Cricetulus griseus: one gene and its partners. The main gene of each other region encodes a partner of the protein of the gene in region 3 in a complex. Links are inferred from orthologs where the notes say so. Each region holds a gene or a part of one and is shown on either strand. Other genes may lie near its edges. The genes, in order: Kcnip1, Kcnip2 and Kcnd3.

Region 1 (3,648 bases), on a different chromosome or scaffold from region 3:
CCAGCATTAGGATGGTGTTTTGCTAGCCATTTGGTCCCTGGTTATATTATTATGGCCCTAGTGAACTTCCTTACATTAAAAGATTGGTCCCAGCACTTATCTCATTGCTACATTATTCTTATGGTGACATCCGAACATGTAGTAATCTGTTCCTGTTATTACAACAAAATAACTGGAACTGGGTGCTGTATTCTTATTGCTCAAGAGGTTTAAAAGCATGACACCAGTTTCTATCTGCTGAGAGCCTCATGAAGGATGACATCATTTTAGTGAGCACATGTGGAAGAGGTCACACAACATAACAGGAAGCTGGAGAATGAGGAGGGCCCAGATTTTCTCCTTCAACTCAGGCTCATGGCAGCCATAGCACTAATATCTCTGAGGCAATGCTCACAAGGACCTAGTCCACCCATTAGGCCCCATTCATTCAAGATTCCATGACCTTAAACACTGCCACACCGAGGACCAAGCTCCCATGAACCTTGGACATACACCCAAACCACAGCACATATGTTCTCTGCTGGCCTATCTGGCAGAAAGATCACTGGACACAAAAGGTCTATCTCTAAACTGGTCTATCTCTAAACTTTCAAGATGTCAGAGAAATCTCTTTTCCTAGCTGCAAAGTGGGAGGCTTGGATTAGGGTGAATGCTGACATTTTTCTAGTACTCTATATTGCTAGATATTTTTTAAAATTAAGGATGCCACTTCTCCACTCAATAATCGGTAGTATCTATCCATCCTTTGCTAGATCAAGGCCAAACTCCCCCACTTAAGGATCTTACAGCCTGGCTTTACCTTAATTTCCATTTATTCCCCTTTGCAATATGATCAGTAAGTACACAGATGCGATGAATGAAATCTTCTCTACTCAGGTCCTGTGAGATTTTTATGGAATCTACTGTTTATAGTTAATGATAATAGACTCTCTGCTCTCTTCTGTAATGTACACTGGTCTGCCTCACAGGAACATCTCCTGGTCAATCAGTATGCATACATACCTGGAAGAAGACATCCACATGCTGCCTGGGAGTGTCCTCTTTGAGCACAGGATAGGTGTATTTCCCCATCATGTCGTAGATGGCTTTGACTATGTCCATCATCTCCTGGAAGAGGACATGGAGGTACACACTGTTGGGACCATGAGGTCAAACTTTCTTAGGCAACAGAATTTAGGATGGTTTTGGGGTTCTTTGTGCCAACCAGAGTGACTAAGAGGACTGTTTAAAAGAGACGAATGGGAGCTAGAGAACTAGAATAAACTCCTTCCTCAGAGAAAATGGCAGACTCCTCTCTGCCTTCAGACATCTTGGGTGGTTACCTCTTCTTGCTTTGTTCTCAGGGAGGTCATTGGATTCCACATTCACAGACTGAGACAATGAAGCATTATTCTGACTTAAAGGTAAGTTAATGATTTAGACTAGCCTTTTAAATACCCTCACAGCTTCTGTTGCTGTTTTAAGAAAAAAGTAGCCAACATAAGGATTATTGACAGGACACTTGAGGTTTTCTCTAAACCCATAATTAATAATTTTAAACTTACAGGAAAGTTGCAAAACTATTACGGAAGGCTCATGTATACCTTTTACCTAGTTTTCTTTAATATTAAAACTTGTAAAACTGCAGAAAAATAATCAAAGTGAGGAAATTAGCATTGCTACAATATTATTAGCTAAACCATAGTTTATCCATATCTCATCCATTTTCCCACTGACGCTTTTCTCCTTGAGATTGCATTTTGTGTTGAATTGTGTGTTCTTCATGTTTTCAGGACTTTGACATGTATGATGGGGATGCTGGTCAGCTGTTTTGTAGATGGTCAGTTTGGGCAAGACCTTGCAGAAGCAATGATTGTTCCATCCTGTCAATGCACCATCAGGGAGGTACATGGTGTGGCTATGTCTTATGACTGGTGATTACTTGGTTATTTGACTAAAGAGTTGTCTGCCAACTCTCTGATTTTAGTATTTGTCAACACACCTTGACAGCAAAAGTGATTACTATGGTATTTTTTAATAGCAATTCTATTCTATATTGCCTTTTAAAAGTTAATGTTTCAGATCAGAGATAAAAAATCCTTTTATGATTCTGTTGCTGTTTTAAATTAGGACAAGGAAGCCAACAACCAACATCCACAGGGCACTTGAGGCTTTCTTTAAGTAGGTTATTAATAACTGAAGATGTACTGGAATACTTCTGCTAGCAAGAGATGCCTATCTTCTTTTATTCACATATTTATTATTTTATTATGTATTTAGTTCTTTGGACTTATGGATATCTATTATATTTTGTTGGTAACAATCCAATATTATCATGTTTTATTTTGTTGATTAATTTTCCTCAATTAAAACTCCTCTAGGCTGATGCCTGTAGTTGGTTGATCTGATCAGGGTTCAGGTTCATTTTCTATTTCTCCCCCTTCTCCAGTTCCAAAGACAGCTTGCTAAGGAGAATGGATCCTTTTTTATCGGAGAAAGGTATTTAGAAAGAATGACCTTGGTGCCATCAGTTGGTCATTTCTCCAGGACTCCCCAACCTATAGAACTAAGAAATGAGTTTGTATTCACATATCCATTTCAAGATCAACACTTTACTGGCCTTTCACCCCCATGTGGTCACTGAGCTCTTCCCTGCTTGAGAAATTTTTATCAAAGAAGGGACAGAAAGAGCAGGGACAGAAAGAGCAGTTTTGATTGCTCAGGATTCTCATTGCTGGCAGGTGTGAGAAGAATGTCCCAGAATGATTGCAGGATGATGTCTCAGGAAGCTACTGACTGACTCACATTCGTGTCCACCCCACCATTAATTTTGCCATCTAGAGATGTCTGATAGACATTAGTGGTGGTAATTCTGCTTACTTTGCCTGTTATAAAGAGAATAGTTAGTAAGTTTATTCAACAGTATGATGGGAAAATGTATTGAACCAAGGTTGAAGATCAGGAAACATGAATCCAGCCTAAGCTCCCTTCTCTAGATGCTGTGTAAAGTTGTATTTGAGTATTTTAGAATATTTATATACATACAAGTAAGTATGTATATAAGAACTTAGATAGATGTCTATGAAATTGATGTAATAGCACTTTGTAACATGATTTTTAAAACATGAAATTACATATAATTGTTAATCTGTGATTTTAAATGGTCACCTGCTATTTAATGAGTGCTTGAAATCTGGGTCTGGAAAGATAAGTGTGTACTGCTCTTACAGAGGACCCAAGTTCTGTTCCCAGCACCCATGTTGGGTGGCTCATAACTGCCTGTAACTCAAACTCGCAGGCATATGGCACCCTCTACTGTGTAAACCCACCCCTCCATGCATTTATACATGATTAAAATGAAAACTTTTGCACATATGTTACAGTTGTGTAGCTTGGTCTCCTTGTGGGATTCCTAATAGCGGGAGCAGGGACTGTCTCTGACTCTGCTACCTGCTTTTGGGACCCTTTCCTCCTACTGGGTTTACTCGCCCAGCCTTAACAGGAGAGGAGGAGCCTAGTCATACATACTTGACATGCCATAGCTGCCTGATACACAGGGGAGGCCTGTCATTTTCTGAAGTGAAAGGAAGAGGAACAGATGGGGGTGGGGAGAAGGGATGTTGGGGTGGGGAAGGACTGAGAGGAAAGGAGGGAGGGGAAACTGATTGG
Region 2 (2,900 bases), on a different chromosome or scaffold from region 3:
CCTAGCTCACCTCAAAGCTGACAGAGCCATCATGGTTGGTGTCAAAGGCATTGAAGAGAAACGTAGCATAGGTGCTGGAGTCTGGGGATGAGCATGGAATGTGACCTTGGCCTTCAGGCAGGGGTGCTTGCTTCGTTTCTGCAGCTGGCCCGGCCCCCACTACCTCAGCATTCCCAGGCCTCCGGAACCCTTCTTCCCACCTCAGCCTAACGATGGACACCCATCATGCCCCAGCCATCTGTCTCCTCACCTCCTTGGGGAAAGAACTGCGAGTATATCTGCTTGAAGTTCTCCTCATTGACAATTCCACTGGGGCATTCCTGGGTAGGGACAACCAGACTGAGCAGAGACACAAACCTGACTTCCTTTCCAGTCATGGCCCTCAGGCCAGAGACTCCCAGGAGGAGGAAAAATCACCATGCCTCTGTAGAACTTACCACAGAGTTCTGGTACCAGCTGGCAAGAAGACTTCCCCGCTGTACAGATAAACAAGCCCAGCCTGCCACCACCAAGGGCCCTGAACCTCAGGCTAGACGCTGGACCTGTGGCCCATCTCCCTCTTCAAAGCACCCAGGCCATACTTTCCAGGTGACTGCCAGTCAGTCAGCCAGGCCTCTCTGATTCAGCCCTTGCCCAGTTGGCTAGGCCCTCCACTCACGTTCTTGAAGCCTCGGTACAGGACCTGCAACTCTTTGCGTGTGAATTTGGTTTGTTCCTGCAGCTGCTCCAGACCCTCAGGCCGGTGACACACGGTGGACAGTTCAAACTCATCCTCCACGCTGTCTGCGGGGAGTGGTAGGGGGATAGCTTTGCCTCAGGTCAGGCCCCTGAGATGCTTGAGTAATCTTCAAAGTAATTAACCCATCCCCCTTCTCCTTGCCCTTGCTTCCACACCCAAGGCCAGCCTGTCACACTCAGAGCTGAGGCAGTCAGAGGAGAAGACACTGGTCGGCCTCGAGGTCTGTTGGGGTTAAGGCCATGCCTGGCTCCAGAGTCAGAGGTCTAGACTCAGCACTGGCCCCTGGGCCTTGGGGAGGGAAGGCCAGTCCCTTGCCGTGACTTCTTAGAAAGAGGACAGAATGGAGACCAGGGGCTCCTGAGGGTTGGAGGCAGGGGCCTTTCTTGACCAGCTCAGGTCGGCCCAGCCCCAGCCTGGGAGAGCCCACATCCAACCCAATCCCAATCAAGCCCCACCCATCCCAGCCATGCCCGAGCCATGCCCCACCCAGCTCCAGCCAATCTTTGTTCAGACCCCAATCTTGACTCCACCCTCAGTCCCACCGTCCAGCCCCCAGGCAAGTACCCCCCCATCCCACCCCAACCAGGACAATAAGTCACCTGGGTCCAGCGGGCGGGGTCTGTGGGGGCGGAGGGAGGCTGGGGCAGCTAATGCTGAAGGGAGCGAATTGTCACCAAGAAGACCAAGCCCTGTAGATACTCCCCTGGCCCCACACTCACAGGAAATCTCAGACTTGAGTGTTTCCACACGCGAACCCCAGGCCCACTGCATAGGCACAGACACAGTGAACACAGACATCCAGGGTGCCATGGGCTCCTCACAAACTGCCCCTTCTTGGATTAACTCCCCGGGTGGCACCATCCGAGTGCCACCATCTAAGCAACTACCATCAAATAATTACAGACTGGGCCTTTATATAGCTTGCAAAGTTCAGTGTGCTTTTATAAGGAGGGTAAGGCTCAGCCAAGGAAATGGAACCTATAGACAAAAGGAGGTTACTAAATTGGTGGCCACTCAGTTGAGGACCAGGCTGGGACAGAAAACCTCAGCACTCTGACATCTGTGAAGGTGGACTCCACCATCTATACCTGGCACACTGTTAGAGCATAGGTGACAAACATTCCAAGGTCTAAACAGTAGAGAAGCCAGAGTTGCAGAGCAACCTAGCTAGCTAAGTCACCCTGCCATGGCCACATGGTCTTCAGTTCTTACATACGAGCCCTGATCTGCCATTTTGCAGACCAGGGGTGCCACAGACACTCATGATCTGACAATATATTCATTTGTAGCCACAGGCCTCACATTCAGACCCAGCCAGTGAGTTCCTTCCTACCCCACCTCCCATCACCCCCCCGCCTCTCTCTCTCTCTCTCTCTCTCTCTCTCTCTCTCTCTCTCTCTCACACACACACACACACACACACACACACACACACACACACACGTCCCGCCCCCAGAAGCATAGGAGAGGCACTTGCTTTCACTGACTGAGGGCAGGGCTTGGGGCCCGCAGCACGGCAGCAGCTTGAGGAAACGCTGCTTCAGGGCTTTTTTAGTGGGCCCTGGAGGGTGGCCTGGGAAGAGAGAAGACCCCAGGAAGGCACATTAACTCCCACTGCACCCCTCCCCCGTTCCATTTTCCTGTCCGCTCCCCCACCAATCACAAATCAACACTGGCTGGGGTGGGGAAAGGAAATGAGGGGCAGTATAGACGGGCAGGATAGCTGGGGCCAGGTTGCCTGTTGGGTCTCACAGTCATGGAATGTCAACTGGAGCCAGGCATGGTCACTTTGTATAACGAGAAATGGCTGGCAAGAGCAAGGCAGCCTCAGTTAACTGTTAACTGCTAACCCAATTCCTCAAGGTAACGTCTACTCTAAGGAATCTGAGTAGGAATCAGTATCTCTCTCTCTCTCTCTCTCTCTCTCTCTCTCTCTCTCTCTCTCTCTGAGTAGGAATCAGTATCTCTCTCTCTCTCTCTTTCTCTCTCTCTCTCTCTCTCTCTCACACACACACACACACACACACACAGGCATATTGTAATTTAGAATGGTAAGTGACATATTTATGACAGAAACACTTAGTGGCCTAAGCATGTTCCAATCACATACACAAACATATGCTTTTACCTAATACTCCAATATATACAAATATGACCAAAC
Region 3 (4,351 bases):
TGACATTCCTATTTATCTCCAAAATGATCCCATTTTAACTCTGACACCCATCAATCAGCCTGGTATTTATCCCAATACAAATTCCTCCCTTTCTGTCATGAATCCCATCAGAAAGCAACTAAGGACACTGGGAAGTTGGGATCTCATCAGGATCATGCTTGAGGTTGGGATGAGGTAGCTAGGTTTCTTTAGGAAAGTGAAAGATGGCCAGGGTCAGCATAGAAGGAACAAATATGAAGCCAAGTCCCTAGATCACTTTATCCCAAATATCCCCTGGTATCAAAAGCTTACATATGCCATTTGATCCAAGAAAGACACAGTCCCAGAGTTAAACATTCCCTCTGATGAGCAGCTAGCTATTTGGTGAGCACAGTTGTACATGTGTACACCTGTGTATGCATGATGCATAGTGTGTGTGTGTGTGTGTGTGTGTGTGTGTGTGTGTGTGTGTGTGTGTGTGTGTGTATTGGGAAGAATGTCTGTATAGCTTTCTTTAGACAGAGGTAAAGGGAATGCCTGAATCAAACATGGTCTTCACAAATGGATGGTGACAGCCCTTGTTCCTCCCTGCTCCTCTCTTGTGGCAGAATGACAAATGTAATCACTTTAAAAGGTCCAATCACCTGCTCAGTCGTTCCCAATAAACACACGCAGCACTATGGAATAACCCATACCACCACAACGGGGTTTCATCCAAGAAAAAAAAATTGAATCACCAGGATGCCACCAACTGAATTGTCAAAGACCAAATAAAAAGCTTCATGAATTCTCCATCAGCAATATAATGCTTCCTTGTCTAAGCAAATCTAGACCCAGCATATGAATTGTGAAGAGATTTTTCATTAATCTCATGGCTTCCAAAGGCTGAGGCAGAACCCCTCTGAAATCTATGTCTCCCTAAAGCTGCCTTTATTTGCTCTAATCCTGTTAGGGTGAGATTTCAATCTTCTCCCTGGGACCCCTTCCTCTGATGGAGCGTTTCACATCCCAGCACCATACATTTATTTTTGTGACCTGGGTGGAGTGGAGAACTGGGAGATCTGGAAGAGAACATCACCTGACATCTCACTGAGCACTTGTCTCTTGATGATATTGCTGGTTGTCTGACCACATGACCCAATTGAGACTATTTCACAGGCACACAGGTAGCCTGGGTCATTCCACCCCTGACTCTAACTGATAAAACAAGCTTGTTCCTCCCTTAGTGAGAAAAAAGAAACTGGTGCCTTGCTTTACAGAAAACCCCAAATCAGGACCTTTGAGAGAAACTCTAGTCTGTGGCAGCAGAAAAGGAAAAAAAAATGAGGCAAAAGAGAAAGCAGCTTGCAAATATACTACAAAGGAGAAATGCAGGAAGGACGGGTGAAGAAATCTGCATGTACAGATTGTACACTATTTATCCAATTCTCACAACCCTTCTGCCCCACCACCCGCCAGCTCTGTCTGCCTCCCCTTCATAGTCCTTAGAGGCACTCCACCCTGCCACCACACTCACCACACTGCTTGTCTGGAGGAAAGACACAGTGACTTAATTTCCCATGTTTTATAAAACACATGCCTCACTCAGCCCCAATAGAATCAATTCCAGAGCAAGTCACCACCCACAAACAAATCACTCATTTCTTTGCTGACTAAGTATATCCACTTCCCTGGCTCCCATGACTTGAGTAAAGGGCTTTATCTCCAAACTTCCTCTCCTCAATCCTGATACACCACCTAAAGCTTCATGATCAATCAACCCAACTTCACCCTATCCAGGCCAGTGGCACTGACTTACCCCAGTGTAGTCATGGTGACGATGGTGTACCAGAAAGATGCGGGGATGCTTGTGAACTTGCTGGCAGAGGAGCCCTTCTCGGCATAAAACATCACAGTGGCAAAGATGATTATGGCCATGGTGAGGGAGAAGAGGAGAAAGCCCAGTTCCGAGGCACAGCTCTTCAGGGTGTACCCCAGGATTCGTAGACCCTGGGAGTGTCGAGAGAATTTGAAGATCCTGAAGACACGGAAGACCCGGAGCGTGACAAAGGCCCCGGACACATCCTCATTGTTGGTCATGACGAGGCCAATGTAATAGGGCATGATGGCCACCACGTCGATGATGCTCATCACACTGCGAATGAAGCGGTATCGGCTGGGAGCCGCGAAGAGCCGGAGGAGGTACTCCACTGTGAAGATCATGACGCAGGCAGTGTCCAGGCAGAAGAAGGCCACCGAGTAGCGCTCTCCACATGGCAGCTCCTTGCTCCCGGGCACCGTGCCGCATGGCACCGTCTCCACCACGTTGGTGATGACTGAGACAGCAATGAAGAAGCCAGTCACGTAGTAGAAGACCAGGGCCAGGGTGCTGGTGTGTGGGTTTTCGAAGGCCCGCCACATGGTCTGGCGGAAGCTGAGTGAGGGCATGGACTCCTGGTTGTTCTCAGAGTCATTGTCATCCATGAGCCGCTCGGCGTTCTCCCGCTTGCGGTCTTTGTACTCCTCGTAGCAACAGTCTCCAATGATCTCAGGGAGGATGCCATAGAAGGCCAGCTCATCGTCGTAGGCAGAGATGCACTCATACCGCGGGTAGTGTAGCTTCCCCGTGCGGTAGAAGTTGAGCACACAGCGGAAAACTTCTGGGTCACGGTCAAAGAAGTACTCCTTGGTGTCCTCATTGAAGAAGAACTCCTTCTCTGTGCTACCAAGCAGAGTATCGGGGTAGCGCTCCAAAGTGGTCCTCCAGGTCTGGAACCGTCGTCCACTCACATTGAGGACAATCAGCTCGTCTTGCCGCTTGTTCTTGTCAGCTGGAGCTAGGGGCATGGGGCAGTTGGCCACTGGCATCCATCCAATGGCCGCAGCCCGGGCAAAAGGCAGCCAGGCTGCAACTCCCGCCGCCATGGTGACTCCAGCTTTTGGGCTGGTAGCTGCTCAGACACTGTGCACACCAGCTTGGAGTTAGTTCAGTGACCCCTGGGGGACAGGAGAGATCAGAGAAAGGGCTAAGTCTACTTTGATTTTTGTAGGATAGGGACAAGGGGAGGGTCATTGTGTGAAACAGCAAGTCTCCAAGGCAAGTTAAAACTGAAAGACCCAAAGAGGCAACTCTAACAGTGACACAAGGACAGTACCTCACAAGGGGCTGTGCAAAGGACCAGTTCATCAGATGTTGCTGACTGGCTGACAAAGTGTCAAGCTCCAGGGGGGTCCAGAAGTACTTGGGAAGGAAAGTGTCTAACAAGAAGATCTGGGAAGATGGGTAATAATTAGCTCTGAAAGGTTATGGATGTTATTGCGAATTTAAATTGGGAGAGGGTAAATGAGTTCTCATTAAACGAATTTAAAAGTGGGATAAACATGCTAATTTTTATTTCACTCTTCATCCACCAGGGTAATCAGGAATTGGGGTGCCAATGAAGGAGATCAAGTAAACACACCCTTTACATTTCTCCCTGGTGGGAAGGAGACTGGGGCTGGGTTTAGAAAATTTGGTTAAGGTGGGAGACCCCAGCAAGTCCAGAGCCTAGTAAAGTTCCATCCCTAGCTCCCATCGAGAAAGCTTTCTCTGGCAAATTGCAACTTACTCTTGAGAATGCTTGGCCTGGATCCTTGCCCTAGCAACCTACTGTCCAATTGCAGCCTTCAGACGCATGATGAATAGACCAGGGGAAGCTCTGTACAGGGTCTCTCTCCCACCCAGCGAAGGAATTCTTGGGTTCTTGGTCCACCTGACTTCCACATACTGTCCCTCTCCCACCCCGGAGCAAGCTGAGCCACGCTCACTGCCTTCCCTAACTCCTTCGCCTCCTGTCTCCATCTGCCTAGAACCCAGAGTTCCCCATTATATAACAATACACCATCCCATGCCAGGCTCTCTCACCTGTCCTCTCCTGCACCCTCGGAACTTCTTCAGGGCTGGGCACCCTTGTCCCTTCACTCACAGCTTTCTGCACCTCATTTCCCCGTCACCTGCCTGGATGGAGGGAACAATGGCACAGAGAACTATATTTGGCTTTGAGAAGCAGATTTACCTTCCCAGATCTGGCTTTTTAAAGATGATAGTGAAATGACTCTGCAATCCCCAAATGTATACCATCTGTGGGAAGACATGTGGTGACACAGAAACACACGTAACAGTGACGGGAAATTGTTTGGGGTTGGCACGCTCAACTCCACTAATCCTAAACTGATCACACAGTGCAGAGCCAAATCTTAACTCAGTTATTTGGATTCTCTAGAACTCAGTTGGTTTATTTCTGTATTGAAATAAATGAGGCAGAGGTGACTTTGGGAGTTGTTGTGTTGTTTGTTGGTCTGGTTTTGCTGTTGGATGACTTACTACACAGAGACTTGGGATGAACCTTGGCCT

What was found.
Region 1: the proteins of Kcnd3 (region 3) and Kcnip1 are in contact, whole or in part, in a crystal structure (PDB 2NZ0), measured with the Homo sapiens proteins. The link is inferred for Cricetulus griseus from reciprocal best matches to the Homo sapiens genes KCND3 and KCNIP1. Residues at the interface, in NP_001365898.1 of Homo sapiens: Ala6, Ala7, Trp8, Leu9, Pro10, Phe11, Ala12, Arg13, Ala14, Ala15, Ala16, Ile17, Gly18, Trp19, Pro21, Val22, Pro26, Met27, Pro28, Leu29, Ala30, Pro31, Lys34, Lys36, Arg37, Asp39, Trp54; in NP_001030009.1 of Homo sapiens: Leu67, Arg69, Gly70, Phe71, Glu74, Val80, Phe85, Ile88, Tyr89, Phe92, Phe93, Tyr101, Leu105, Phe109, Phe122, Ala125, Leu126, Leu129, Leu130, Leu138, Trp140, Thr141, Leu144, Tyr145, Ile161, Val162, Ile165, Tyr166, Met168, Met169.
Region 2: the proteins of Kcnd3 (region 3) and Kcnip2 are in contact, whole or in part, in a cryo-EM structure (PDB 7W6S), measured with the Homo sapiens proteins. The link is inferred for Cricetulus griseus from reciprocal best matches to the Homo sapiens genes KCND3 and KCNIP2. Residues at the interface, in NP_001365898.1 of Homo sapiens: Val5, Ala7, Trp8, Leu9, Phe11, Ala12, Arg13, Ala14, Ala15, Ala16, Ile17, Gly18, Trp19, Met20, Pro21, Val22, Ala23, Asn24, Cys25, Pro26, Met27, Pro28, Leu29, Ala30, Pro31, Asp33, Trp54, Arg60; in NP_775283.1 of Homo sapiens: Arg112, Gly113, Phe114, Asn116, Glu117, Cys118, Val123, Phe128, Ile131, Tyr132, Gln134, Phe135, Phe136, Tyr144, Leu148, Phe152, Phe165, Leu169, Ile172, Leu173, Arg180, Trp183, Ala184, Leu187, Tyr188, Met201, Met205, Ile208, Met211, His228.

Annotation. Positions count from the first base shown.
Region 1 is NC_048600.1:48,809,314-48,812,961, forward strand, and holds part of Kcnip1 (Kv channel-interacting protein 1), read right to left. Parts: intron 1,108-3,648; coding exon 1,003-1,107; intron 1-1,002. UniProt on the Homo sapiens protein: Regulatory subunit of Kv4/D (Shal)-type voltage-gated rapidly inactivating A-type potassium channels. Regulates channel density, inactivation kinetics and rate of recovery from inactivation in a calcium-dependent and isoform-specific manner.
Region 2 is NC_048596.1:15,766,160-15,769,059, reverse strand, and holds part of Kcnip2 (Kv channel-interacting protein 2), read right to left. Parts: intron 2,313-2,900; coding exon 2,217-2,312; intron 1,438-2,216; coding exon 1,339-1,437; intron 784-1,338; coding exon 659-783; intron 366-658; coding exon of another isoform or gene 321-365; coding exon 251-320; intron 82-250; coding exon 11-81; intron 1-10. UniProt on the Homo sapiens protein: Regulatory subunit of Kv4/D (Shal)-type voltage-gated rapidly inactivating A-type potassium channels. Modulates channel density, inactivation kinetics and rate of recovery from inactivation in a calcium-dependent and isoform-specific manner.
Region 3 is NW_023276806.1:51,541,582-51,545,932, forward strand, and holds the start of Kcnd3 (potassium voltage-gated channel subfamily D member 3), read right to left. Parts: upstream 2,884-4,351; coding exon 1,778-2,883; intron 1-1,777. UniProt on the Homo sapiens protein: Pore-forming (alpha) subunit of voltage-gated A-type potassium channels that mediates transmembrane potassium transport in excitable membranes, in brain and heart. In cardiomyocytes, may generate the transient outward potassium current I(To).